Rhinolophus ferrumequinum: one gene and its partners. The protein of the gene in region 2 purifies or fractionates together with the protein of the main gene of each other region. This does not show direct contact. Links are inferred from orthologs where the notes say so. Each region holds a gene or a part of one and is shown on either strand. Other genes may lie near its edges. The genes, in order: PRR36, FBXW7, MED13L and NAP1L1.

Region 1 (7,267 bases), about 33 Mb from region 2:
GGGTGGGGGGTGTACTCTGCAGAAGGGGTGAACCTGCAGGAGAGAATGGAGCCAGAAAAGTGGCCGTGGGATAGGCGGGTGCCTCGGGAAAGGATGTACTCAGGTGTATGGGTGGAGCTTGCAAAGGGGGTGTGGCCGGCGGAGAGGGGAGGGCCTGCAGAGAGAGTGGAGCAGAGGGAGGAGGGGCTAGTGGGAAGGGCGTGGCCAAAGTACTTGTAAGCGCCTGGGAAGGAGGCGTGGTCGGTGGAGAGGGCGGGAGCGCATCCTGCAAAGGAGTGGCTGTGATATCGGTAGGCAGTGCCAGCTGTGCGTTTGGACAGGGAGGAGATGATGTGGCCAAAGGAGAAAGGCTCTGCAGGTTGGCTGCGCCCTTCCTTAGGGGTGCGGCCTGCGGGGGGCGCAGAGCTTGCAGCCCTTTCGATTTGGGCTGCGAAGGGTGCCCCAGAGCCCGGGGTGTTCCACCCAGCGAGGCCCCAGAGCGGGCTGGGGAGGACAAAGGGGTGATGCTGGAGCCCAGGGGGCGCGAGGCTGGCCTCTGGAGGCCCCCGCCGGCGCTGGGTCGCCTCCTGGCGGCAGAGCTTGGCTCCGCGGTGCTGCTGCGCTCTAGGGTGCTGCTCACTGATTTCCTGGGGACCTCAATCTGGGCCCGGGGACGGGCACTCGAGGCTGCCCGGGGAAGCCCCCCCTCAGCGCCCGCACCTCGGGTCCGACGGGAGCTGGCTGGAGAGGGGACGTTTGGGGTGGGCCCGGAAGAGTCTGGGGATAAAGCAGAAGGCCAAAGGGTCATCGATATTCTCAGGCTGGTCCCCCTCACTGCCCAGGAGCCCTGCTCCTCCCTGCCCAGGAAATGTACCTCTCCGGGCCCCTGCATTCACGGTGCTTCTTCTGGGAGCTTCTGGAGTTCTTCCTCTGCCCACAGGTTCTTCAGCTGGGAGCCGGAGCCCCTTCTGCCCAAGAAGACCTACCCTGGGGGTGGTGGTGATAGAGGGTATTCAGGGTAGAGCCACCCCCTCCTTGTTTGACCTCCCATGTCCACATTTTGCCATCTGTGAAATGGGGTATATGGGCTCACTGCCTACCAAGAATGGCTTTCACCCAATTTGAGCCCAGTGATCTGCAAGTGTTCCCACGCCCCAATTCATGTATAAAATTAAAAGGTTCCAGAGAGTGATACTAACCTTTGCCTAAGGAAGGGGGTAAGGCGTGTTACCTGGTGGTCCCACTGGCACTTCCTGGGATAGAGATAGAACCCAGACTCGAGGTCTTGGCCGAAGTTCGCTCACCTCGCCCCGCCGCTGGGGTCCTGGAGGCTGCCGGAAAAAGGTCCAGTCTATGCGGTGATCCGGGAAAGCAGGGAGAGGCTGGTGCCTCGGAAGGAAAGGGGGGCAGGGATACGGGGTTGGAATCGGGGAAAGAGGGGTACCTGGGCTCCGGGGACCTGTCCCGGGGCTCCGCATGGGTCCCACGCGAGGAGTTGCTTCCGGGAGAGCGGCTGCCCGGATGCCCCCGGCTCTGTCAGCCAGGGGCCCTCGCCCTGCAGCTCCCGCTGCTCCCAGAACTCGGAGGGCTGCGCCGGTTACAGGAGGAGGGGGTCGTGGAGACCCTGGGGGCCTAGGGGTCGGAAGGCCGGGAGGGCGAGAAGCCGGCGTCCGCGCGGCGGTCCCTGCCCTGGACTTGTCCCTCTTGTCCATCCTGTACCTAATGAGAAGACAGACTGGTCAGCATCCCAGATCCTGGACCGTTACGCAGCCTGCAGGGACCTGTTCCTGGCACCTAGCTGCAGCTTCCCCAGCGTCGCCACCCATAGGCGCCCAAACCTCGGCCTCCATCCACTTCCCTCTCACCCACCTACACACCGGCCGAGCTGCTCATGATTTTCCCCAAGTCCCACCCCCATCGCCCTCCACCAGACCCTGCCTGCCCCAGCCCACCTCCCCACCCTCCTGCTTCTGCTCCCCTTCGGGATCCAAGATCCACGCCCCTACCCCTAGACCACCAGCCTCGGGGACTGGGGGCTGCTACAGACTCCAGATGGGATGGGGATGGAGCGTACTCCCGGGTCCCCTCGCCAGCCCGAGGGACGCCGGCACCTGCCGGGAGGAGCAACTCCGGCTGCCCGCGCACTGGCTCGGGGAGACAAAGAACCGCGTAACGAGCGCGTCCCCCTCCCCCAGCCGGACCCGGGCCGCGCCGCCCCCTCCACCTGCTGCCGCGGCTCTCACCTCCCGCTCGGGTCTCCCGCGGCTCCACGCAGGGTCGCCTAGGGTGGGGCTAGGTGGCAGCGCCTCGGCGGCCGCGAGCAGCGGACAGGCGAGAGGAGGGGGCTGCGGGCTGTGGCGCCGAGAGCCGGGCCCGCCCCTCCGCTGCGGGCTGGGGAGACCCGGGCGCACGCGCCGGATCCAGACCCGGGAGGCGGCGGGAGCGCGCCAGGGTGGTGCGGACGGAGGCGCGGACTGAGGCGCGCGCTGGAGGGAGGGGCGGCTACTCCGCGGCTGCGCCAGAGTACCCGCTACCCAACCCGAGGGGATTCGGAGGAAGAAGGAATTCACACACAGACACACACACACACACAAACACACACACACGTCCTGCCCACCGCCTCTCCACCCCCACACCCCCACACACACCTGTCCCGGCCCCCACAACCACCTGGAGACCGAGGCTCGCCTGAAGGGATAGGCTGGACCCTGGCAACTAGGGGGCGGGACCATAGCACCTCCCGCCCCGTCGACCAATCCAGCCGCAGCCGCTCTCCGGAGGCCGGGCCTTCCAGGGTCGCTGGAGGCATCCGCCCCTCCCAAACACAAAGGCTTTTCCCAGACCCCAGCAAGAACCCTACCCGGTATGGGGGGACTACTGGGAGAATGCATCCCTGGGAATTTAGGGGCAGAACCCGGATTTGGGAGAAGAGAGGAAGAAAGGAAGGTCGAGAGGGAGAGAGAGAGACTGAGTATGGTGAGAGGTAAGCCAGTCTGCTGCAAGGCAGGGCACCCCCAACCTCCACACCCTCCTAGGTCACATGAAGAGGCGAGGTCAGGTCAGTAAAGGCTTCCTAGCAGAGCCAGGCTTTGGGGGACCAAGATTATGAGAGTTTGGGAGGTGTCAAAACGGGCGCATAAAGGAGCAGAGACGATCTTGGTTGATTTCAATAACTGGAGCACTTTTGTTTTCTTCCCGTGCTTTAAATTCATCAATAAAGAGTGAGCTCACAAAACCCTAGGCTCCCACACTCTCTACCCCAACAAAAGCAAAACCCCAGGTCACTTACTTTCATTCTCTCTCTTTTTCTCTCCCTCTCGCCTCTTCTCTCCCCCATCCTCCCATAAGCACACTGTGTGGCCCCAGGTGTGCTATGTAATTTCCAGGTCCTACAAGGTATCTTACAATCATAATAACCACCAGGGCTGGTCCAGCCACAACATTGGTGATTAGTAGCCTGGAATCGGCCCAGAACACTCAGGTGTGGCCGGAAGCAGGGGTTTGGATTTTCTTGATTCAGGTTCAGGGAATGGAAGAAAGAAAGAGAGAGAGAGAGAGAGAGAGAGAGAGAGAGAGAGAGGCCAGGCTTAGAACTAAATACCCTGCTTTGACCAGTAGGAGCGATCTTCAGAACCCATCGTTTCCATGAACCCTCCCTCCAGCCTAGGAGAGATGCTTCTCAGTCCATCACGGCACTCCCCTCCGTATTGGGTCATTCTAGGCCTCCCCTCCTTCCCAGGTCTACTGAAGGTCACCTGTGTGAGCCCCTCTGGCATGACAGCTGTCTGGTGCCCCTGCCTCCTCGCCCACCCGTCCACCAGCAGTGCCCTCCTGAGTCATATCTGCTGCCCAGAGGCCTGCCCTCCTATTTTCTATGGTGCAAGGGTCCCTCCAAGACTTAATTGAACCCATCCTGAATTTCAATGAGATCTGGACTCTACCCTCATATGAGAACATTCCTCAAATTTGGTCCACCAACAGGGGGATGAATTGCACAAAGCAAACATACCCTACAATGGAATACTCAGCAATAAAAGCAACAAGCCACCAAGACACCCAAAACAGGGACACATCTCAAAAACATTCTGCTGAACAAAAGAAGACACACACACAGAAACACACACACACACACACACACACACAGAGCCTTCATTGTATGATTCCATTTATGGAACATTCTGGAAAATGCAAGCTAATCTATAATGACAGAAAGCAAATCAGTGGTTTCTGTGGGCCGGTGAGGGAGGGAGACTGTTGGACCACCCATTGTAGTCACTCTCAGATTCCTGACCCTCAGAAACTGGGTGAGATAATGAACGCTTGTTGTTTCAAGCTGCTAGATTTGGGGGTAATTTGTTATGCAGCTAGCTAACTATCTGAGGGTCACAAAACCTTAGAAGCTGGGTATTAATTGCAAGTGTTGGTGAAAATGTGGAGAAATGGAAAACCTTGTATTGGTGGGAATGTAAAAATGTGAAAGACAGTGTGGAGGGTCCTCAAAAAATTAACAGAGAACTACATAAAGCAGCAATTCCACCTAAAGAATTGAAAGCAGGTACTCCAAGAGATTTACACTCTCTTGTTCACAGCAGCATTATCCACAATGGCCGAAAGGTGGAAACAACCCAAGTGCCCATCGATGGATGAGTGCATAAACAAAATGTGGTCCATCCATACAATGGAAGATTATTCAGCCTTAAAAAAGAAGGAAAGTCTGACACCTGCTACAACATGGACGAACCCTGAGGACATGATGCTCAGTGAGAAAAGCCAGACACAGGCGGACACACACTGTGTGATTCCCCTTATATGAGGTCCCCAGAGGAGTCAGATTCATAGAGACAGGAAGTAGATGATGGAGCCAGAGGCTGGGGAGCGGAGTTAATGTTTAATGGGGACAGAGTGTCAGTTTGGGAAGAAGAGGAAGTTCTGGAGATGGATGGTGGCGATGGTTCCACAACATTGTGAGTGCACTCAATGCCACTGAGTTGTACACTTAAAAATGGTTAAGAGGGCTGGCCCCTGGCTCAGGAGGGTGGAGCTCCATGCTCCTAACTCTGAAGGCTGCCAGTTCGATTCCCACATGGGCCAGTGGGCTCTCAACCACAAGGTTGCCGGTTCGATTCCTGGACTCCCGCAAGGGATGGTGGGCTCCACCCCCTGCAACTAGCAACGGCAACTAGACCTAGAGCTGAGCTGCACCCTCCACAACTAAGATTGAAAGGACAACAACTTGACTTGGGAAAAGAAAAAAGAAAGAAAAAAAATGGTAAAGATGGTAAATTCTGGGGTTTTTTTAAGTGTGTTTTTCCCAGGACCCATGAGCTCCAAGTCAAGAAATTGTTTCAATGTAGTTGTGGAGGGTGCAGTTCACAGTGGCCCATACAGGGATTGAACTGGCAACTTTGTTGTTAAGAGCACTGCGCTCTAACCAACTGAGCTAACCAACCACCTCTAAGATGGTAAATTCTATGTTATATGTATTTTCCCACAATTTTTTTTAAAGGCTGGGTATTATCCATGTGGGAAAATCCACACATTACCAATGGGAACGTAAAGAGGGCAGCCTTTCTGGAGAACAACTGGAAAGCATTGTGCGTGTGTGTGTCTTATGACCCAGGCTTTCCACTCGTGTCTGTACTGCAGCAGCACGCCCCCTCTGTATAACCTGAACACCCACAGTCCCCACGTGCAGGGAAAGTCAGAAGTGCCAGGGAGGTAACACCCCTGCATCCCCCTTCTCCAGAGCAACCCTCAGCCAAGACAGACAGGACCTGCGCATCAATATTTCAACTCCCTCGTCCCTTGGGTGGGACAACTGGGGAGGTGTGCCTTCCACCACTGCCCAGAGCTCCTCAGAAGAAGGGAGCCCCGGTTGCCCACAGTAGCAACCTTCTCATTCATCCTTACTGATGTACCCTCATTAAGGCTTGCTGCTCCCCTCCCTTCCCAGTCTCATCTCCCCACTGCCCCACCATTAGTGCTAGCGGGGATCACCTTCCAGATGAACTATTTGCACCCAATTCTTTGTCTCAGGGTTTGCAACCAGAAAATCCACAATTAAGATAACACCTCGATCATCCACCCATCCATCATTAACTGAATGCCCACAACTGTGTGTCTGGCACCATTTCAAGTGCTGGGGACACAGCAGGGAACAGAAGGGACCCGTGTCTGGGGCTAATGAGGCTTCCAGCCCAGTGACCTCAGACTCTTGCATAAGGGTGCCAAGCTGGATGTTCATTCCAAAACCAAGCTGGAAACAAACCTCAGGGCATGGAAACCAAGGCGCTTCTCTGGAGGCAAGAAGAGGCCATTGAAGGAGAGGATAACCCAGGACTTTACAGAGGTTGAGTCCTAGAGGGTAGCACCCATTGCAGGGTTTCACAGAGGAACCTAAGTTTAGGGCGTTCCAACCTTCAAGGTATCAGGTCTCAGGAGGCTGCTGATCTGGTGAACTCTGGGGCCAAGTGGGGGAGGGGTCTCACGCTCCCACTCTAGTCTAAATCCTCTTTGTTTTGCAGACAAAGCAGATCAAGGTTCATTCACACAGACCTGTGGGCTGAATCGGTCCTTTGGCTAGTCTAAGACCGAGAGCAAGCCTCCCTGGGTAGGGAGGAAAGGGTGAGCACGAGGGAGAAGAGTGGGGTGGGGAGGCAGAATCATCCTTTCTAGAAGCCAGCCTCCCAGACTGGACTCTAGCCCCAGCACCCAGAGCCCCTCTGGCCTCTGCACCCCCCCACCCCCACCTAAGGACCTGGGAGCAGCTAACTCCCATCTTCCCCCAGTGGAAAGCCAGCCTCAAGGCTGGGCAGGGTCGGACAGGCGAGCACCTCCCATCCACGCCCTTCCCCTTACCTCCCCACCCTACCCCCCAGGTTGGCTTTCCTGGGTGGGTGGTCAGGGAAGCCCCCTCCCTCTCCCGTGGACCTTGGTTGCAGGTTCCTCAAAACCAGGTGGCTGCACCTTGGGGTGGGGGCAGGAGGAGGCCTTCCCCAGGTTCCCAGAAGGATGTTGCAGGCTGACTTTGGGTGCGCAGTGCCTCCGACCCCTTCAGTATGTACCAGTCCAGTTTCTGCCCCATGGCAGCCAAGCCCTGAGTTCAAGGCCCTGCTCCTGGGGCCGGGCCCTGGCCCACCTCGGGAAGACCAGGATTAGGGTCGCCCTCCTCCAGGGATCCCCGGGCGCCAGGAGTCGGGGGCCACCTGGGAGCGCCCTGAGGGAGGCAGGGCCGAGACGTCAGGTGGGCGGGGCGGGTGGGGCGGCTCCCGGCTCCTGTCCCGCCCGC
Region 2 (7,360 bases):
TGGCCATTTTGTCCTTCCTTCTGATTTTTTTTTTCCTCCTTAGCAGTTATCACCGTCTACTATAGTAAATATTTATTTTGTTTGTTGTGTGTCTTCTTCTCCCCCTGGAATAAACAAGTTCAGTGAAGGCAGGGGGATTTTTATCTGTTTTGTGTGTTGGTCCATCTTCATTACCTATATAACACATGGTAGGTGTGAGTAAATAGTTGAATAAGTGAATAAACGAATGAATGGGAACCAGAGCTCTTGAAAAACTGAGGACATGGGATTTGGCCAAGGACAGAACCAAGGAGAACCCCCTTGAAAATTAACCCTTTGGGACTTACCGAAGAAAATGTCGGCTAGTACTTACAAATTTAGGGGGTTAGATGCCATCTCTCCCTCATGGGACTGTAAAGCCTTAAAATATCAAACTTTCAACATAGTCTCAGCAGTAGGAATCGCTATAAAATAATTCAATTATACTGTAATTTCTCTGATTGTCTTTCATATAGTCTTAAAAGTTTTTCTTCCCTAATCATCTCTTTACTACTGAAAGGCAATCCCTTTTGGAGATGTCTTTTATTTAAAGTTTATGTATTCTCATGAAAAAAATTTTTTTTAAAACAATTGATTTTGTATAGGCAAGATGAATTTTAGAAACTGTTCTTACGGTTTCTTTTTATATTAAAAATATATAATCTTGCATTTTTCCTTTTCCCAACAACTGATTTTTTTTTTTTCAAGCTATATGTGTTTGCCAGCTAAATTTTAATGTCTTACTGCATGGACATCATAATTAGCAGTTATCTATTATACATCTTTTAAAAAAATAGATGTTAGTTTTCAACAGTACTGTGAGACACAGCTGGTAATAATTATACTCAATAATTAAGATGACTGAAAGTTGAATATTAAAATGACATCAGTGAAAATTCAGAAGCATTTTATATTTGATATTCTAAAGTGAATGCTTTTAGAATCATTGCTTTTAAAATTACTGAAGTTGTTTTTATAACCCCAAACTGTAAGCCTTGAATTAAGGAAAAATGTGAACAGAAATATCTAGTGAGTCTCAGTTTATTTGGCTTGGGACCCCTTTACATTCTTAAAAAACTATTGAAGACCTCAAAGAGCTTTGATTTATTTGGGTTATATCTCTCAATAGTTACCCTATTAGAAAGTAAAACTAAATTTTAAAAGTGTTCATTTATTAAATTCAATTAAAAGTAATAGCTAATTACATGTTAACACAATTAACATATTTTTTTTGGAAATAGCCATATTTTCCTGAAGTGAAATAATTAATGAGAAAGATGACATTGTTTTACATCTCTGCAAGTATCTTTGAAGTCTGGCTTAATGGAAGAAAGTTGAATTCTCATATTGGCTTATGCATTCAAGTCTCTATATATGATATGTCGTCTGAGGAAAACTTACTAGTGTGTACTCGAGACATGGATAGTGAAAAACACAATTAACATCTTAATATTATGAAAATAATTTTGATCTCGTAGACTCCATGTAATGGTCTCAGGGATCCCAAAGATTCATATTTTGAGAACTGCTAGAATTATTTCTCACGGGGATACTATATATGGCAGTAAAGAGTTTTAAATGAAAGAATAGTTTTAAAAAATACTCTCATATAGTAGTGTCCATTGGGTAAGTTTCTATTTGATACATTTTACTTTAGGGTAACTATTGAAGTTAGCTTGTGCTTACTTTATAAATTTGGGCATTGAGGGAGGATGGTCTGGTTTGTAAATTATACATCTTTTAGAGTGCCTTGTAGAATGGTTACCTTATTTCTCAGAGAAGTAGAAATTAATTAAATAGAAATAGATTGTTAAATTTTTGAAACAAGTTTTTGATATTTAGAGTTACTTAAAATTAAGGCGAAAAGCACAACTTTAAAATGCAGTTTATTTAAAAAATAATGTTGCTTCATTGTTATTGGTGAGCAAATATTAGTATTGTCTCTTTTTAAAAGTATCTATAGCTAGACTATTAAAGTTAAATATTAACCGTTTTTCCTAAACAATATTATGTTTCTTTTTCTGATAGTTTTTAAGGCTTTATTTTTATTGGTTTGCTGCCTTCTTCTATCTGTATGAATCAATAGTACATTAAATTAGTTGACACGGAAGGAAAAATAATATGTAATGAAAATAGCCCTTATTGCTTCCATTCTATTTTAATTATAACTAATATAAGATCCAGAGGGTATTGGTAGGAGGATGAGAGGGGTGAAGCATTACATGTCTAGTTATTTCACAAGTAATCTATACTTTGGGTCTTTTATTTCATAGTTTTGTTTAAAAACAACATTGATGCTGAGTAGCTAGCAATTCATAGCAAAATGCATTTGGTGGGGATTTTTATTGATGCTTGTCTGTAATATTAGGCGCAATGATTTATTTATAGGCTTTTGTTAATTATAAAGGTAATAAAAATCTCAAATTATTTGGGCATGTTATACATTTGTCGATAATAGAAATCATAGGAGGTTTTAATGCTCAGTACATTGTTCTACGTTAGGATGTTGTAGTAATGTTTTCATTACCTCTCTTGGCTTCCCAGTCTCGCACATTAGCTAGGAGGAGTGTGCATCAGCTGTAATAAGACCTTTCCCCAGTGTGTCTGACATGCATCTGAAAATATGACAGATTCTAGATTTTAGAAGTTCTGTTGTTAAATCGTATAAGCAACTTAAACTGATAGTACTTCGCATTTTCCACATAATGTGCTCTTTCGATGAATAGCTGTGAAGCAGCACGCAGGAAAAGCGGTTCTTGGCAATACCAGCTCAGTTGCATCTGCAGATGAGGATTTAAAATTCTATGCAGCAGACAGTACCTCCAGCAGGCGAGTAAAAGGTTACTGCATTATTTTGCTTGTTTGTTTCCACAGCCTTTATCTACAACAGGTTTTTTTAAAAAATTCAATGTGAAGTGCATGCCTGTTTTTAGATATTCTGGAAATTGATTTAAGTATAACATGATATCAAAAGGGCAGTGCAAGGTGAAGGAAGAGGCAATACTGGCTCTTTTTAGCTTTAAACCAAGGAAGAAATTGAGCGTGAGGCATGTACAAATAAAGAACCTTTCAATGCCACAGAACACAGGAAGTTTTTAAAATATACATTTTAATTCAAGGTGTTTCTTATTACATTTAGTTTTTAGACTATCTTCCTCAAAAAAGGGTCCTGTTAAAAAAGATTGATAATCGTAGGTCTGTGAATATTCACTAAGTTACAATTATTTGAAGTATGATTATTTGGGAAGACTATAACATATTTGTATTAATGTGACCCTCTCTTGTCCTGGAAATTATAATGTGGATTATAGTTACATGGTGTAAATAAATGCCTTTACACAGTATTGACAAAAAAGGATGCTTCAGTATAAAATATACTACAGTATGGCTAACATACTTAATACTTTTGCTTATATTTTTAGGGTGGTTTATATTTTTTGAATCTTTTTGATGAGATGCAAATAACCCAAGTTGGAGAAGATTCAGTGTCAAAACAACCAGATTTTTAATGGCTTTTCACTTATTATCAATACCTACCTATAGCCACAAGCCCTTTTTTTTCCTCATTAAAACTCTTCTAACATTTATGATGTCAGGGGACTCCTTGGCTTATCATTATCTATACCACTATTTTTACTGTAGAACTTTATTGCTCCATATTTCTCCAGCCTAAGTACAATATTCAGAGAGAATTTTTGCTATGCATATCAACGACCATCCTGCCCCCTCCCAGCAATACTCATAGATTTTTAATAGCTACTGTATAAATTTTGTTTTTTAAAAATTCTTATGCCTATGTTTCTGTGTTTTAGATTGACTTAATAAGATTGAAAATGATCCTGTAAATTAATCTATAATATACAAGTAAAATCAGTTGATTATTCTTACTGTGAGTGCTTGGCAGGCTTCTTGAATCGTGGAGTCATAAAAGGTCAGCAGTTCTGATTGGTAAGTTAAAGAATCCGTCCAGTAATTTGCTCCCTGTTGTTTCTCAGAGCAATGCAGCAGCAGTTCTTTTCCAGATATTGAGCGGTTCTTGAACAGTGTGTATGGGGACAGGGAGGGGTGGGGCTCATTCCTGTTGGTTGTTGAAATAGTGAGCATTTACAGAGGGAACAGGTTGGATAGGCTGAGCTAAAGGAGTAGGCAAACAGATCTAAACTGATGGAGGACAGAAAAAGTGGTTAGTATAATTTTGGGGTATATTATCTTGAGTTTGCTCCTTTGTTAAGGACTTGGGTTTTAATATAACACAGTTTGAAATATTAAAGCACCTTACCTTCTTTCTAAAGAGTAGCCGGGAGACTTCTGTTTTTAGTATCGAGTTCTTCTTGGCGATGAGTTTGTGGCTGGTACCTTCTGTAGGGAAGCTGTTTTATTCTTTTTTAACAGTGTTTCTTTCAGCCAGAGAGCTGCAGAATGAGGCATTTAGCCAATTTTGAGTATATATGGGACCTCACCAGTTCTGATTTTTAAAGTTAAATCCTCATCTAATGAGCAAGTCAATGTGTGGCTGTGGCTGCAGCATTATTTCTTCTTTAATGAAGAGGTTGAACCGTTCGACCTGCTGCTCCGATCTGTTCTCTTGTAGCCATACATCAGACCAGTTGCAGAGATTATCCATCGATTGTCCCAGGCAACCAAAGGTAACTACATAGATTTATTTCAAATAAAAATATACAATTAAAATGGATGCATTATAACTAGTACCAAATGATTAAAAATAAAAGACCAATTAAAGATATTCTTAGCAGTTTTCTTGACCTTGCAGTAGCTATCCAATATCATTTTGTCATCATCAGATTGTGTAGCAATGGAAATGCACTGCAGTAATTGATTTTGTAATAGGATCAGGTGATTTACTAGCTGCACTGACAACCACTTGCTTGCTTGCTCTGAGCTGTGGAGCGCTCTAATGGATGTTGTGATTGTAGCCTGGACTGGATGTGAGACTGCTAGCTACTTAAAGCAGCAGCACTTATTTTAAAAATTAGAAAGTAAGCTTTCCTTTTTCGTTTTCTTTGCTTTAGGTTTTGGGAGGCCTCAATAATTTTAGTTAATTTGAGTACCCCCGTGAACTTTTAGAGATTATATGTTATTTCATTCATCAATTCATAAAAAGTTCATTGGTACTAGTAGCCTTGAAAATAATGAAATACAATCTCTCTGCTCCCTACTCCTCGCTCAGCAGCAACAGATGTATCAACATATCTTGAAAATATAAGAATTTTTTTTAGCTACCGTATATTATCTAAATGAAACAAAATATTCTTAACATTTGCAAACTTCATCAGTTTCAAACTCTTGCTGTAAATATAATAATGGAATTATGGTAAATTCTTACACTAGTCGGTTGTGTTAGAATTGTTTTGTATCTTTTTGGCCTTTTGCATTCTTAATGGTTTCATGGATATAACAAGATTTAGGAAATCTGAGTTGGACCAATTCTAAGGAATATTGATGAAAACATATAGTAGCTATTTTATGAGACTGACGCGCTGCCTACTGCGCTAAGGAGGCAGGTTATAGTAGCTATTTTAAAGTAATGTTTAAGAATATAGCAAAGTAAAAACTTAATCTCCAAGAGTATGAATTTTCAGTGGTTATGTTTTTAATGATCTTCGTTTTCATATTTATTCTATGCCTTTTAAACAAATAATTGATTACAAATTTAGAAGCTTAGGACTAAAGCTTAAAGTAGAATAGAATATTCTACTGTTGCAGAAAGAAAAGACTTTGTCTACATTGAATTTTTGCTGAGTGGCTTGCATTAGGAAATAAAATTATCTCCCTTCTCTCCCTTCCTCACCAACTCCTCTACCTTTCTAGTTATCTAGTATGTAAAGTGTTTTTCACAGAATCTGACACAAAAACACTGAGTTCTCTGTCCTTCCCTAATTTATGTTCTTTAACCATGTTTATGTTCTTGCCATGATAGAGACACTATTTCTTCCAACCACATCTAAAAACACTTATATAAATTAAATATGTTTATAATTTGCTATAAAAGAAATTGGGCATAAGATTACCATTATATGGTATTGAAACTACCATGTGAAAAAAGCTTTTCTTTGCAATGTATTTAAATACTTGCCCTTAGTGTTTGAGGCCTAGTGTTTCTTAAAAGATGCAAATATTACCAGTGTCATTGTGTACTTTATCCTGAATTGAGATGCTTAAAACATTAATTATGGAAGACTGTAATATGATTTAAACACTAGTGTTTGTAATCTTTTATTATTCAATAGGTAATCACTTTATGCCCCACCTCCCCCCCGCAAAAAAAAAATACAAAACTCTGAACACTGATAATACTAACATAAGTATGTTAATGTCATTTGAGATTTGGTCAAGGATGTGTCTAAATTACAAATATTATTGAAATGTTAACTGGTAGGTTATCTACAAATTAGTCACTGATAAAAGTTTCAGTAGAATGATGTACATTAAAACTTTTTTGCAACGGGTTGAGCAAATAGAAGGAAAATAAGTGAATACCAGAGTGTTGACTATTTCTTTCTTAAAGATTGTTTAGAAGAGATGGAAGATACTATGATTGTTCTGTATTTATACAGTATTTCATTTAAAATAAATAAGCAGTATACTTTGTGAAGTTCTAGCCCCAGGGAACTGCCTGTTCTTACCTTGAAAGCCTACCTGTACTTGATTCAGCCAGGCTCTGCCACTAATCTACTTGATCAGTTTTATTTATGAACATGTTTAAGGTTCCTTAAACATACTCCTAAAATGTTCATTAAAAAGAAATCAATTTGCTCATACTAGTGTGAGGTGTGGTAATAGTTGACCTGGAAGCTGTAGAAGTTGGAGTTAGGAGGAAAGATCAAATTTTTTAAAGAATCGGTCTGTAGGTGATAATGAAATGCCTCCTTTCACTTTTCTTGTCTTTTGGGGGGGCGGCATGCTTTTGCCAAGAGCGCTGTTTTATCTTTTTGATATCCAGTATTCTCTAAATAGAATGCGTATTCTGAATAATTATCCTAGTTCTTAACAGAACAAATTTGGGATTAAATTCTGGAACTGCCAATTTTCCCCATGCTCTCTAACAAAGATAATGCTATTAAACAGCTTATTTTAGTACCTAGCATATTTTTTAGTAATCATTTTTTAAAAAGGTAGCCTTTATGTTATTAATTCTAGTGCTTACTCCTTATATGGCTTACCATATTGGCTGTGTGCACTCCTCTTTGTAGCCTAGGCAAAGTGATTTTTGGGTTGATTGAATAGGTACTTTCGAGATGATCATGTCATAATAATTATAACACGTATTTATGGAACCCTTAATTTGGACCAGAGGCTATACTAAGCACTTCCATATTAATTA
Region 3 (7,717 bases), on a different chromosome or scaffold from region 2:
TCCTGCAGCTGTGGCAGCTTCCTGTGGTCTTTCTAATAGGTGGTTCCTCCTCTGGTTATATTTTTGCTTCCATTTTCTCTCTGCCATTACATTTGGTAACCATGAAAGGGAACTAACCTGTCATTCTCAGAGTGAGATCTGAGGCTAGTGCAGAGTGGAACGTCTGTTTCCTGTGTGGGCAGCAGGCATTCCGACACAGGGGGAAACCAAGTCATAAGGACGCCTGTGATGAGCACCCCTCCCCCACACCGAGGAAACTGGACTCCATATTCCGAGTGCCTGCTGCCTTGTTGCTTCCTCGTAGTCAGTTGATGGTTTTGTTTTGTTCGCCTTTCATCTTATCTCCTGAGGCTTTCCATCAACTCCCTTTGCTTTCTCTGTTGAGTAAGAACTCCGCGGATCTTTATCAGTCATCTCAACTGTTCAGAGAGTCAAAGAGTTTTGTTGCTAGAAATGACTGAAGGATTGCCCGGCTGCCCTTTTCACACATGAGGAAACTGAGGCCCAGAGAGGTTGAGTGGCTTGTCTAAGACGACAGGGCTGCTCAGTGGCGTGTCTGAGGCTAGAACCTCTGCTCCCTGCGTTCTCATTCTGTACTCACCTGGCAAGGACAATCACATGCTGTGCTCTGGCCTTTTCCACTCAGGGGCCTCGGCTTTGACAGTCAAAGAGATCGCCTCAGAGGAGGGTTTTTGTTTTTGTTTTTTGTTTGTCTTGTTTACTTGCTGATAAATGTACTTTTATGGTGCCATTTGATTATTCAGTTTTCATTTTTATTGATTGATTGATTGGTGGTGTTCATAACTTATTGCATTGAATAGATAATATACACAGTTTGGTAAAAAGAAAGGGGAAGGAAGGAAGGAAAGAAGGAAAGAAAGAAGAGGGAAGGATGGATAGAGGAGGGGGGGAGAGAGAGACAGAGAAGAGACAGAAAGGAAAAACAGCAAGTGAAAAGAAATTCCTCTCCTCATGCTGACTCCCGTCCCTAAAGGCAACTGATGTTACTACAATCTCCCAGGGATATCTCAATTAATAATCTATTTTTGAGATTATCCTATATTAGTACACATAGTGCTAACTCATTATTTTTAATGGTTACGTGGCATTAAATTATATTGTTAACCACTCCCTAAATGATGAACATGTAGGTTGCTGCCAGTTTTTGCTCTACAAACAGTACTACAGTTCATGTCCTTGCACACAGGTCTTTATATATCTACTCAAGTATCTCTGGAGGATAAACTCCTAGAAGTAGAATTGTTGGGTCACAGGATATGTGCATTATACATTTTGAAATTCTCCAAATTGACACCCAAAGCTGTGGTGCTAATTTGTATTTCTACTGGCAGTGCATAAGAGTTCTGCTCCTTCCACATTTGCCTAAGCTTTTAAAATATTGTCAGCACGTATTACGGTTTTAGTTTCTGTTTTTCTTATGATGAGTGTCTTAATGTTCGTGGGCTGCTGTAACAAATCACCATAGATTGGGTGGCTTAAACAACAGAAATTTATTTCTCACAGTTCTATAGGTTGGGAAGTCCAAGATCAAGGTGCTGGCCAATTTTATTCCTGGAAAGAGCCCTCTTCTTGGTCATGTCTTCACGGGTAAGGAAAGCAATCTCTCTCTTGTCTGTTCTTATAAGGGCACTAATCTCATCATGAGGGCTCCACCCTCATGACCTGGTTATCTGCCAAAGGACCCATCTCCAAATACCATCACTCTGGATATTAGGGTTTCAATATGAATTTTAGGGGGACACAAACATTCAGTCCATAGCACTGAGCGAGGCTGAGCATCTTTTAACATGTTTAAAAGCCATATGTCTTTCCTATTCTCTAAGTTGTTGATGTCCTTTGCTCATTTTTCTTCTAGGTTGCTCTGGGAGACCTTAAAAAGTTGAATCTAAACTTGCTGAACAAAGAGAATTTGGTGACCAAGTGTGTAGGATGAAGGCCTCCTGGGATGTAAATACACCTAGATATGACGGACCATCATACCGTCTCCTTGCTCAGTCCTAAGTAACACTGTGCATATTGATAAAGTGCTTTGGCTTTTTTTTCTAAACACTGTCACCACCAATCTCTTAATAGAAATGCACAACATTGACCTGAGGTCAGTGAGTCAGCAATTAGGATCTCTTTTTGACAGGTTAGGAAAGGAGGCTTAGAGAATTAAACGCAGTCCCCCCTTATCCACGAGGGATACATTCCAGGAACCCCACTGAATGGATGCCTGAAACCTCGGTTAATACCAAACTGTATATATACTCTATTTTTCTTACCTATGATATTTTAATTTATAAATTAGGCATAGTAAGAGATTAACAACACCTAATAATAAAATAGAACAACTATAACAATATATTACAATTAAAATGACTGTGATCTCTCTCTGATAACCGATCTGATAACCAAGTCGGCAGGTAGCATGTACAACATAGACATGGTAGACAAATAGGTGATTCATATCCCAGGCAGGACGGGGCAGAAAGGTGAGAGATTTCATCACACTACTTGGGTCTGTATGCAATTTAACGTAGGAATTATTTATTTCTGGAATTTTCCATTTAATATTTTTGGATCATTGTTGACCGTGGGTAACTAACTGAAACCGCAGATAAGGGGGACTACTGTATGTAGGTCAAGGTAACACAACCAGGGGTGCCCAAGCCAACTACAGGCACCTGCTCCTGGAGCCTTCTGGATTCAGGTCTGGGCTCTGGAGCTAGATAGACCCAGGTTTGAGTTACTCAGTAACTGGACAGCTTGGAGATGTCACTGCATGTCTGAGACTTATTTTAGGCTAAGGATAATAACAGTATCTTCTTTATGTGGTTGTTCTGAGGGTCATGTGCAATAATGTATGTATATTCGTTATAACATAGTGTCAGCCATGATAATACATTATAACATGCTGCTCATGCGTTTTCCTGTAGTAGTTATTTGTGGTAGTTCCAAAGCTCAATTCATGTGTGTAAGACTTCTTTTATTACACTCCATGTTCCTACTCTCTTTTAGTCCAATGCACCTAAAACAGCTGGCTTTTCCATGTTTTGGGGCTTGTTAGTGAAGTTGTTCTCTCCTCCCCACCTTTGCAGTGAGTAACCGGGAGACCCTTCTCATTCCCGCACTCCTCTGGACTCCCAGGCCATATGCGATCAGGAAATGTACATTATTGAATGAACGGAGCCAAGAGGGAGGGTCTGCTCCCAATACAGCCCTAGTACAGTGCCTGGCAGTTATATTCTGGAACAGAACAAGAGCTCAGGAAAGATTTATGCAATGAATGAATGAATGCACACAATGCCTAGCAGTAAGGGCTCAAAGGCATGTCTGTATTCCGTGCATATTGCCTCCTACACAGTAAGCGCTAAGTGGTAGCCATGTATATCCCTGGGCGAGGCTTATAAAACCTAGTGTAAGAGCTCAGCTTCACTGTGCATGGGTGCAGGGGTTCGAATTCCGCCTCCTCTTCCCCGCTATGCGACCTCGGCAAGTGACTTAATCTCTTTGACTTAATCTCTTTGTGCTTCAGTTTTCTCATCTGCAAAACGCGGACAACGGAGTGCGACCTCCACGAGACACTCCCCGTAGCATTTGAACCTCCTGCCTGGCTCACAGCGAGCCCCCGCCACGCCAGCCGGCCTGCGTCGATCGGGGGCACAGGCGAGGGAACTGGAGCTTTCCGTTGCGGCCGCCACCAGCGTTCCCAGGGCTCGCGGTCGCGCCCCGCAAAGATCTGTGCCCCCGAGGGGGCGGGGCGCGGCGCCCACGCGAAGCAGCCCACCGCAGCCTCGGCCCCGCCAGCCGCCGCCCGCCCGGGAGCCGCGCCACCCGCACTTCTTTCTCTCCTTCTCCGTCTTCCTCGGTCTCCCGGCCGGAGAACCCGGCCACGATTAGCTCAGCAGCGCCGCCCGCGAGCCGCCGGCGTGCCGCCGCCGCTCCGGCCCCTCCCCCGCCAGCCCCCGGCCCCCCCGCGCGGCCGGCGCCCGTCACGTGACTCGGCGCTAGCCAATGGCGGGCCGAGCCGCGGTCGGCGGCCGCCATTGCTGTCAGAGCGAGCGAGCCCGGGGAGGGAGGAGAAGCGAGGCTGACTGGGGAGGAGGGGGGGGTGGGGGAGGAAGAGGAAGGAGGGGACGTCGCTCGGCTGCCGGGGTCGCCCGCTGGCTTCGTCCGCACCCCCCCCTTCGCGAGTTCGCGCTCCGCGGCGGCGGCGGCTCCGAGGCGGCGGCGGCGGCTCCGGGGCTCGCCTCCCCTCACGCGCCGGCGGGGGCCGAGGGGGAGTCGGTGGCTGGAGATAAACAAGGCGGCGGCGGCGGCGGCTGAGGAACAGGGAAGGCGGAGGCGGCGGCCGGCCCGCAGCGCCAGCCCGGGAGGCAGCAGCGGCCCTGAGAAGCGGGGAGGGCGCCGGGCCGCGCGGACAGCGCCCCCCGCCGCCGCCGGAGCCGCGGGAGCCGCCGCCGCCGCCGCCCGAGCAGGAAGGAGCCGCGCGGCCGCCGCGGACCCCCCCGCCGGCCCGGGCCCGCCGCCCCCGGCGCGGCGTCGCCGCGGCGCCTGCCGCCAGCCCGCCGGCCCTCGCGCCCTCCCCCGGCGGCGGCGGCGGCCCGGCCGCCCCGCGCTCCCCAGCGAGGCGCCGCCGCCCGGCCCGGCCTCGCCTCGGACGCCTCGCTCCGACATGCCCCGCTCTGGCGGCCGGGCTCGCGGAGGATCATGACTGCGGCAGCGAACTGGGTGGCGAACGGGGCGAGCCTGGAGGATTGTCACTCCAACCTCTTCTCGCTGGTGAGTAGCCGGGCTGCGGGGAGGGGGGCCGTATTGGGGGGGGGGTCCACGACCTCCGCCGCCGACCAACTTTCTCCTCCCGCCGCCGGGACTTCGCCCCTCCCTCGCTTCTCCCCGCTGTTCGCCTCTTGCCGATTCTCCCCCTTTTGGATCGTCTCTCCCTCGCCTTGGATCCCATCCAGTGTTTATTTGGCTCTTTAAAAATCATTTGTGAGCGCGGCGCTCGGCGTGGAATTTGCATGTGGAAGTCTCAAAGCTGCTGATTCTGGGTCGCACTTCGAACGCCCACCCTCTGTTGCAATCACACCCCCCTTCCCCACCCCTTTCCCCCCTTTTTCCCCCTAAATGTGAAAGGCTTTGCCTTGTGCTGCCCGCGCCTGCGAAGCAGCCTTCTCCCCCCCCTTGTCGGATCGGCTGCTCGCCCGCCCGCCTTTTGAATTTTTTAAAAAAATTCCATAATGACACCTGCAATTTCGCCCCAAAACAGTTGATTGAATGCGATTGTGTCAGTAAAGGACTCTTGCACACGAAGCTCCCGCGATTGTAAACATCGACAGCCGCCTGCCTCTCGGGGCTTACTACGCTGGAGAGCCCTAAAGCCATTGCACCGAGCCGACGGAAGGTGGAGAAAGCTTTTTCTTTTTTCTCTCCTCCTGTGTCTTTTAAAAACTGTTTTCTCTATCCTGACAACGAATCCACACACACACAAAAAAGCAACAAGCTGGGCGGTTTGATAACATCGCTTTTATCTGCTTTCGCCTCTCTCGCGCGCTCTCTGATAATTGACAACTTTTCCTTCGGATTTGAATCGCCTGCCTTAATCTTGAAGCAGTTAGGGTGTCAATTGTTCTCCGGGAAGCCTGGCACCCGACGAAGGCGTCTAGATTCATCGAAATTAAAAATGTATAGGGCTCCAGCAACTCTTCCTTGGCGGTGGCAGTGACATTTGGTGGTAAATGCCATCTTTGCTTTTTATTGGGTCGTATTACCTAGCTCTGAAAACATTCACGTTGTTAAACCTGGCGTTTAGGCTAATAATGGCAGTGCGTGGTCTTTAAATATGTGCTTTGTGCATGAGTTACTGTATGTATAGCTATGTGCCCGGGAGACTACGAATTTGTTTAAATATTGAGCAAAGATTTGTAAACAGATGTAAGGCAATTATGTTTGAAGCGTAGAATATAATTGGAAAATTGGCTAAACGGTTTGTTTAATTTAGCCTTAAAAAAAAAACCCCAACTTATTTTAAGTTGCGTACCCTTTTTGGGGGGACTGCCTTTTGGACAGGATGCATTTTTGGAAATTGTTCTCTGTAACCTCTGCTGTAGATAGAAACATTATTTTCTCTTAATCCTTGTTTACACTGGATAAATAATTTAGTGTTGAAATTGTAATTACTTACACTTAATTATGAGTACCATAGATGCTTTTTTCTTTGAGACTAGTGGGTAAATACAAATTCTTGCCAACTTTTCAAATGTGTTATTTTATTAAATGTGTTTCATTATGCAGATAAAAAAATCAAAACGTGATTTTTATCTACAAGACTGGCATAGTATCCTTGCTTTCACTATAGTAAGATCAGGTCAACTTTTTTTTTCCCCCAGCATTTTTATTCAGATATTTAATCTTAAAATTCAATTATAAGTTGTGATTCTTCCTCTCAGTGCTGATGATTTTCACTTGATCTTTTGATATATGGGAATAAAACTCATTTTTCCTCTTCTTTCCTCCCTCTCAGTCTATCATTTAGTGTCAGTCAGGTTCAGGGACTTTCATAGATTAGCAAATATATTGATTAAGGGGTATTTAAAATGGTTTTTGTTTGGCGGCTGGTGACCACATTGACACTTTAACAGGTAATTAAAATAACCAAGTAGACCAATGTTAGTGAGAAGGGATCCTCCAAATTACCATATATCATGCTGACTGGTAATGTCTTCTATGTATGTGGCTGATTTATATACAGTAGATTTTGTAGACAAATGAAAGTGTATAATGTGTATAGCCAGTCTGTAGGATATATTTCTTTTTTTTTTTTTTAAGCTTAAGTAAGGATAATAATGTTAAAGAGATAAGATGATTGAGGTTCTTTTGGAGAAATAAACAATTTTATATGAGAGGATGCTGTGCTTTATGGCCTAATAAAGGTTTGTGCTTTGGATATTTCTGTCCTAAACCTCTTTAAACCAGGAATTGATTTTTGAATATACTTTTTTTTTTTTTAAACAGAATTACTCTTTAGTTTGCAATTTGGAAATTCAGAACTGCAGAAATGCATGAGTTGAAATTTTTTAAAGGACTGAAATGTCTACATTCACTTGTATGTGGCGGGTGGATAAGGTGCTAATTTTCTTAAAAAATTGTGACTCAGTTAAAAAGCTGCTGATTATTGTAAACGTTTCTCATTCCAAATTGAGAATTTTTCTTGAAAATCACACACAGCAACAACCTAGACTATTAAAAATATGTTGCCTAAAGTACATTGTATGGAATAATTAATTCCAAACGTGATAAAATCATCACCTGTTCAAAATAAAGCATGTATTGTAAGAACTCTATATACTTAATAATAGCGTATATTTTTCTTTTTGGTCTGCAGTTTTTTGAGCAGAGAAAAGTATTGTTTATAGAGAATTTACCCAGATACTCACATTTACATGGATTGAAATATAAACAGGACATTAAAGTCTGTACCACAGTAATGACCCACCAACTTTGTATTACCTTGAGGTGTTCATTATGGTTTAGCAAAAGTTGATTGTGCAATCAATCAGGTGCCTTAAGATTTTTGTTAGTCCTTTACTTATTTTGCTTTCTGATTTTCTACTGCATCAGTTTCTGTGGCATTAAATTTCCTAAATTCTCTGTCAAATCCTGCCCCCCTTTCCTAACATGAAAATGCCATTGTGTATACATGATATGGGTCATT
Region 4 (7,229 bases), on a different chromosome or scaffold from region 2:
GAAGCTGAACAGATTCTGCCTCTTTTAGCCCCCTTTCCTACAAAAGACTGTATATTTAACAAATTTTGGGATGTTTAGAATCAAATCAGTCAAGTGGATACTATGGGCAAGTCAAGTAAATAATGAAACAAGCAACAGCATTTTGGATTAAATTAGTTCTGGTGCAAATGGTTATTTTTTCATTTTGTTTTTTCAGTCTCTAGAGGACAAAGACAGTCAAACACCACATTTAGTATTAGCTTAATAACGTTCTCTGTTAATAGACCCAACATCAAAAATAGATACTTTGCAACACATAAAATTTATCGATTTTCAAACAGGTATAGTGAATTTTTAAAAACTATTTACAAAATCAACGTAACATTGACCTGAAAAGACAATGAAGTCAAGCTTTTTATATTACATGTCCAAACAGACCTACCAATGTTTAATTTCACCTACCCTCTATCTTTCTTAAAAAGTGAATCGCACATTTTAGATTTGGCGCATTTGAACTCGGACAACTTTGAACAAGCATTTGAGACTTAGTACTCCCAGATCACTGTAAACCTCTTTTACCTCCTATCAATTTTAAATAAGTTAATCTACATACAACAGGTTTTCAATTATCATGGTTTCATTCAATGTCAAAGTTGATTAGATACTCTGACAACTTAACCCTTGTTGATAACCATTAGCCTTTCCTAACACTGGTTTCCTTATACATCGTTTCGCTTAAAGTCAAAGAACCTATCCATGACATTGAGGATTTACAGTATAAAGTTTTCCCCTTATTCAAAGATAATGTGGGGCAGGCCCGGTGGCTCAGGCGGTTAGAGCTCCATGCTCCTAACTCCGACAGCTGCCGGTTCGATTCCCACATGGGCCAGTGGGCTCTCAACCACAAGGTTGCCAGTTCAATTCCTCGAGTCCCACAAGGGATGGTGGGCAGCGCCCGCTGCAACTAAGATTGAACACGGCACCTTGAGCTGAGCTGCCGCTGAGCTCCCGGATGGCTCCGTTGGAGCGCGTCTTCTCAACCACAAGGTTGCCAGTTCGACTCCCGCAAGGGATGGTGGACTGTGCCACCTGCCACTAGAAATAAATGGCAACTGGACCTGGAGCTGAGCTGCACCCTCCACAACTAAGAATGAAAGGGCAACACCTTGAAGCTGAACAGCACCCTACACAAGTAAGATTGAAAGGACAACTTGACTTGGGAAAAAAAAAAAAGGCCTGAAGTACACTGTCCCCAATAGTCTGTTCCCCTTCCCCAATAAAAATCCTTAAAAAAAAAAAGAGAATGTATATTATTTCCTAAGTAAAATAAATGTAGAAGTAGTATTAATTCAAGTTGACAAGAAAATAAGACCTAAATACTAATTTGAAACGCTATTTTGATGCTAAATTCAAAAATGGCAAATTTCGTTTTAAAGCTCAGCTCTCCACAAACCAGGCAAGCGGTGTTTTCATTACAAAAGTAACTAATCAGACAGTGATGGTCTAAAATACGGGTTCCTTGAGGACATCCTGCACTCAGTTCATTTTTTGTACTGAAACCCTAGCATTCCCAGATAGGACTCCCTTTCCCACCCCCCTTCACTGCCTTCTTTCTTAAGGAAAAAGTGGGGTCACTGATAAGGCAGCAGGTTACAAACTTGGATCAATAAGTTTACATTAACTATTCATTCCATTCCCTAGTTTCTCCACCATACCCCACTCATCTTAAAAGAGCGAGTATCTCATTCTGGGAACTACAATAAAGGAACAAATTTATAAGAAAATATTAGTCCTTGAAAAATTAAAGACATTGCAGACTAAATCCTCTAGCATTGCCATCTTAGAACCATTTAGAGGATTACACTGATTAGGATCAATTCTCCCCGAATAAAAAAGCCTGGTAGAGACACCCATCCAAATTCTAACTGGGCTTGAGCTACACAAAAAATCTTTTGTTAAGAACAACTAACATTAGCATTAATTCTTTTAAACATCTAGCACTGATGGCCCTGCTTCATTATCCATCACCTAACATTCGTACTTTCCTCCAGAACCAATAAAAAGGTGAAGACCAAAGAGAAGCAGGGATGAGTCTGAAACCCAGGGGCTGAACCTATGGGCTCACTATTCCTTTTCACATCCCACCGTCTCTACAACTTTCAGTAAGGACAACAGACACAGGGGTCGCCAACCTGTCCTAGGCGGCGGCCACGTGTCGAAGGAAGCCGCCGGGGTTTCCCCGCCCAGCACGGTCGCCGCCTCCAATGGGCGGAGAGCCCCAGAGCCTCGCAGCCTCCCCGCCCCCTCCCTGCCTCGGGGCCTCGTCCCTTCACAGCCCCTCCCTCCCATCGGAATTCGCAGCCTCCACCTTTCTTTCCATTCCCCAGCGGCCTCTCTCCGGGTACTAGTTTTGAGAAAGCTGGGACAGCGAGGCGGCAGGAAACTAGGCACTCGCGCCCGGCCCGCACCCCGGGAGCCTCCCGGCCCCTAGCGGCGCGGCCGTCGCCTCTTCGGGGCGCCTTGGGCGACGCCGCGGCCTCGCCCCCGTCCGCGCGTAGAGGCCGGTGGAGCTCAGGGCACCTCGGCGCAGACTGGCACGGCCCCCGACCCTCCCGGGCCGACCAACCCCCCGCATCTTCTTAGCCCGTTCCCGGAAAATGCGCCGGCCGATCCCAGCGGCCTCGCAGGCTACGGGGTCGAAACTCCGCGGACGGCTCCGGCTCTGACCTCTTAGGACGAGCCGAGAGGCCCGGAGCGGCCAGCAGCCGCTGCTCTCGGTTCCGTCCCCCATCCCCCCGTCCCTCCCCTCCGCGCCGGCCAGCCGGCCGACATTACGTTCCTCCTTCCCTTTCAGGCCCCCATCCGTTACCGGTGGCCAGCACGGGGAACCAGGCGGCCGGAGCTGCGCAGACAGTGACTCAGGGAAGCGGCGGGAGGAGCAGGAGGCGGCGCCGCGAGCAGATGGCGCTAAAAAAGACCCGAGAGCCCGCTGCTCGCGCTCATATACAATTAGCGTCAGCACGTAGGGCCCGCTCAGCCGCCCTCCCCCGGCCTCGCCGTCTCCTAGCAACGTGAGCGGGAGGCGGGCCTAGGGCGGGTTGCATAGCAACAGAACTGTCCTTCTTCCCTGGCGACCTCCAACCCTCTGCGCCTTGCTTAGGTTCCTTGGGTTCCTGCCGCCGCCCCCTACTACGTACCCGCCAACTCTTCCCCCACCTCACCTTGAAAGGAAATCTCAACCCCTCCCGCTCTGGGAAGGGCCCTGACCCGGGCGCCTGGACCGGTCCACCTCGCCCGCCTAAGTGTGGTGCAGGGAGGGATGAAGGTTGGGGCCAGCCGCCCCGTGTGGGCTTGCCGCATCCTTAGGGCGAGTGCTCTTTAGTTTCCGTCCTCTTCCCAACCTAATTCCTGCAACTCCCCTTCCTCGTAACCATTTTCTCTCCCTGCCCACTTTTTCCCTTTGGCGGAGTCTTCTACCGGTTTTGCTTCTCCTCACTCAGTGGACCTCCATGGCTTCCTGGGGTGCTCCTCATTCTTACTCCAACATCCTTTTACTTGACGTGCGATCCCTCATTTCCGCTTTAGTTCTTTTGACGGATGTTTTATGGCATGTTTGTGTATTCTCCGGATCCTTTATAATGAGGACAGTCGTTTCATATTCCTGAAAAAGGAAACCCTATGTAAATCCTCAGGACTGTGAAATTGCTTGGCTAGTTTTCAACTGATGCAGGATTGACCAATATCCACTTTAATAATGACTAATATTAAAATAGTGGTTCTCAAAGTGTGGTCCGAGGATTCTCGGACTCTTTCACAGGTGAAAGTCAAAAGTATTTCCTAATATTTACTAAAGCGTCATTTGCCTTTTGCACGCTCATTCTCTCACAGTGCAGTTTTCCAGAGGCTACATGACATGTGATATGGAAACATGGAAAACAGAAGCAACTATTAGGATCCAGCCATCTGCTGTTAAACCAGAGAGAGATTTGCAAAAATATAAAACAATGCCATTCTAACTTTTTGTGTTTTAAAAAATAGTTACTTTGGTCAAACCATGGTCTTGGCGCCAATTCAATGACAACAGGAACCCCCAATTTGTGGTAAACTACATATAGCTCAATCCTAATACAGCATAGCTATAGAGCTGTTTAATTATGTACGAAATAGCAGGACTGTGAGGCTGCCTGAGCAGAGTCCCCTCTCTAATAGATAGCTCTGTTCTCCTCTGCTTCTCCCAGGTCCACAAGCCTCTTCAGTATTTCAGGTCCAGCCAGCGAAGCACAATCTTTAATGGAAAGGAAAAGTGCTCTCTCTGAGCCACTGGGGAGCTGACTTATACAGAGAGAGGTACCCACTCCTGGTCCCCGATTGGACCATCTTCATGCAAATGAGGACTTCAGATCCTCACAGTTTGATTGGTCCAAAAAGCACTGTCCTCTTTGGTTAAAAGGGAGCAGCTCTGATTGGTCAGTGACATACATTCGCTTATAGAGTTGTACAGCTTTGATTGGATGGGGAAAGTCTCAATCCTATTGGTTGAAATGGGATTCCAGAAACTCCTTTAAAAGGGTTGATATTTATCATATGCTATGAGGCAGGCGGGAGGCAAACGGCTTAATGTGGGAGCGAGGCAGCTTAGTACAGGGTTTTTCTTGAAGCATATGAGAGAAATATTTAGAAAATGGTTGCGAAACTCTGGTTTTAAATTTGAGCCCTTCTTAGTGGGTATCTTCTGTTTTGGGGTCAACGTTTCTCGTATAAAATATTCTTTATGTTAACATTTAATTGGCTTATTGTTTTTAAATAAGATAATGAATAACAACTCTTAAAATCTACTCTTAAAACTTCTTAATTTTAATTCTAATATGACAAATATCAGTAATGCACATAAAAGTTCTTTGTAATCCTCAGTTTTTTAAAACTGTAAAGGGGTCCTGAGACCAAAAAATTTGAGAACCTCTTCTCTAAATGTTTCGTCCCTTGAAACTTCAAACTGCCTGGAGTCATCTTTTGTAATCCTCACTCCCATATCTCATTGAAATGCATTGCCTTTCCCACTCCATGCGACAGGTGCTCAGTTTATCCATTCATTTTTGTTCTTCATGTGTGATTCTTTTGTATTTCTCAACCTTATTTCTTCATGTACGTCATACTTGACAATGATGTAAGGCTAACAAGGATTATAATAACATCAGTGATGATTCCTCATGAAGAATCCACAAAACATAAACTAGGTAGGCCAGTGTCCAATATGTACATACACTTGGCACTAATTTCAGTGGAGGCCTCAAGAGCGCTCTGCATTTTATTCAAAGCTATACATAATGCAAGATAATCAACATATTAAAAATGAACTAAATAGCTTTCTCCTTTCCATAAACCTTTTCAGTGGTAGAACTAATGAGACTGAATTGAGAAGTTAGCTTTCATGATGGTTTCTGTCCCACTCCAGGGACCCCCACAAATTTCAGGCACTGACCAAAGTCTCCAAATTTCTGACGTTTCAACCCCCACTCCCATATTTAAGGGCTTATCATTACCAGTTTATATACATTATTTCCCCCTTTTCTACAGCACCCTTCTCCAGCTCTTTCCTCCAGCTTCCTCCTCCCTTTCTTTTAAGGTGTCCTAGCTAACCTAAAAGTGAAATACTAATAAAGTGCTAATAATGCATATCTTTTAATGTGATCTTTTCAATCATAGTTTGTAAGTCTAAACCTTGGCTACTTAAGTCCAGGGAAGGCCAATCATTTATACATTCATTCAACAAATAGTTATATGTTGGAAACAACTTGAGACACTGGAAATACAGTATTGAACAAGATAGACAAGGTTCTTGATTTTATTGAACTTACGTTCCAGTGAGGTGGGGCAAGTGACAAACGAGAAATGAAATAATTGTAGATATTAGTAAGTGAAAGTGCTATGAAGAAAATAAAATGAGACAAAGGGGTAGAAGATGACTGACCTAAAGAAACCATTGAGATTTGCACGTTGACCCCTCAAGTCACACAATATAGCTAACTCATCTAATTACTATAAATTGTGGCCCTGGTCACTGACCTTGGACCATGCTAAACTTCCGGTTAAACTTCCTTTTTGCTTCATCTCCCATTATTTTCAGTTGGTAGATTTTTATAGCATTGTAAAAGCCTGGTGGTTTAGAAGTGTGGCTCTTTGGGAGTCAAACAGCCCAAGTTTTGTCCCTATTTTGTTGTGAAATTTTAAGCAATGTGTAAATTGCTTAGCATGGTACCTGACATTTAGTAAACACGCAACAAAAGTTAAACATCATAAACCTCTTACATCGTAAACTTTTGTTTTTGTTTTAATTAATGGTTGGAGAAACTTCCCGTAAGTCTTCTAATAGTATCTAACACATTTTTGTGAAATATTTTATCAAAAGCTATCTTGTCACAAATTTTGAAACATGTTTTCCTGAGCTGAAATGATCCACACTGATTATCACAAAAGTACAATATCCCATATTTCTAAGTACTGAATACAGACACTGTAGAGATCAACCAGATAAGACAGTGACAGAGATGATATTTTAAGTGTGCCTGTGTCTGTATTTCAGCCCCTAAGTAGTAGGAAATACATAGGCTTGAAAGTCAGACAGGCGTAGATTCAACCAAATCTCTGACCTCCCACATGTATCTGTACACTCTGACCCTTAGGTTTTCCCCATCTGTAAAGTGCTTTAATAATTCTTTTTTTTTTTTTCCTTTTTAACAGGATCAATTTACTTTATTTTTCTTGTATAAATTATGTGGCGGCCACAGCTGGAGCCTGGGTTCTCTACACAGAATCTCTGGTGTGGGTCTTTACAAGATGGTCCGTGAAGGGAGACTTGATGAACACAGTCTCTGTCCAGAGGTCAGGGGTGAAAGAGCTGCAGGTCTTTGACTTATCAAAGGTGGCCTTGGAGAAGTTGCCCAGCATGGTAGTGCAGCCCCTGGCTGAGGTAGAACAGTTGACAATATGAGCCATCATCAACAGCTTCTTGGGCACAGGAGCTGAGAGATGCCAGTGCCTCTGGGGGCAGGGATGAGGTGCACAGCACAGAGCCACAGCTGCAGGTCACCTTACAAAGGACAGTGTGGGGCTTGCCCATCTTGTTCCCCGGTAGACTCGCTGCACAGAAACAACGGAGAGCTTGGCCAGGATGATGGCCCCACGGATGACAGGGGCTACCTCCTTGGAGCACTTAACACCCAAACCCACATGTCCTTTGTAGTCCCGGATGG

Evidence for each region.
Region 1: the proteins of FBXW7 (region 2) and PRR36 purify together in Homo sapiens (affinity purification with mass spectrometry; 3 studies listed by BioGRID and IntAct, counting the BioPlex papers as one, with this or other methods). This does not show direct contact. The link is inferred for Rhinolophus ferrumequinum from reciprocal best matches to the Homo sapiens genes FBXW7 and PRR36.
Region 3: the proteins of FBXW7 (region 2) and MED13L purify together in Homo sapiens (affinity purification with mass spectrometry; 4 studies listed by BioGRID, with this or other methods). This does not show direct contact. The link is inferred for Rhinolophus ferrumequinum from reciprocal best matches to the Homo sapiens genes FBXW7 and MED13L.
Region 4: the proteins of FBXW7 (region 2) and NAP1L1 purify together in Homo sapiens (affinity purification with mass spectrometry, with the first as the bait; 3 studies listed by BioGRID). This does not show direct contact. The link is inferred for Rhinolophus ferrumequinum from reciprocal best matches to the Homo sapiens genes FBXW7 and NAP1L1.

Annotation. Positions count from the first base shown.
Region 1 is NC_046301.1:56,861,106-56,868,372, forward strand, and holds the start of PRR36 (proline-rich protein 36), read right to left. Parts: upstream 3,013-7,267; 5' UTR 2,223-3,012; intron 1,699-2,222; 5' UTR 1,692-1,698; coding exon 1,424-1,691; intron 1,311-1,423; coding exon 1,211-1,310; intron 967-1,210; coding exon 854-966; intron 757-853; coding exon 1-756.
Region 2 is NC_046301.1:23,865,091-23,872,450, reverse strand, and holds the start of FBXW7 (F-box/WD repeat-containing protein 7), read left to right. Parts: upstream 1-4,342; 5' UTR 4,343-4,511; coding exon 4,512-4,664; intron 4,665-7,360. UniProt on the Homo sapiens protein: Substrate recognition component of a SCF (SKP1-CUL1-F-box protein) E3 ubiquitin-protein ligase complex which mediates the ubiquitination and subsequent proteasomal degradation of target proteins.
Region 3 is NC_046308.1:10,238,467-10,246,183, reverse strand, and holds the start of MED13L (mediator of RNA polymerase II transcription subunit 13-like), read left to right. Parts: upstream 1-4,713; coding exon 4,714-4,785; intron 4,786-7,717. UniProt on the Homo sapiens protein: Component of the Mediator complex, a coactivator involved in the regulated transcription of nearly all RNA polymerase II-dependent genes.
Region 4 is NC_046293.1:70,495,126-70,502,354, forward strand, and holds the start of NAP1L1 (nucleosome assembly protein 1-like 1), read right to left. Parts: upstream 3,003-7,229; 5' UTR 2,849-3,002; intron 1-2,848. UniProt on the Homo sapiens protein: Histone chaperone that plays a role in the nuclear import of H2A-H2B and nucleosome assembly.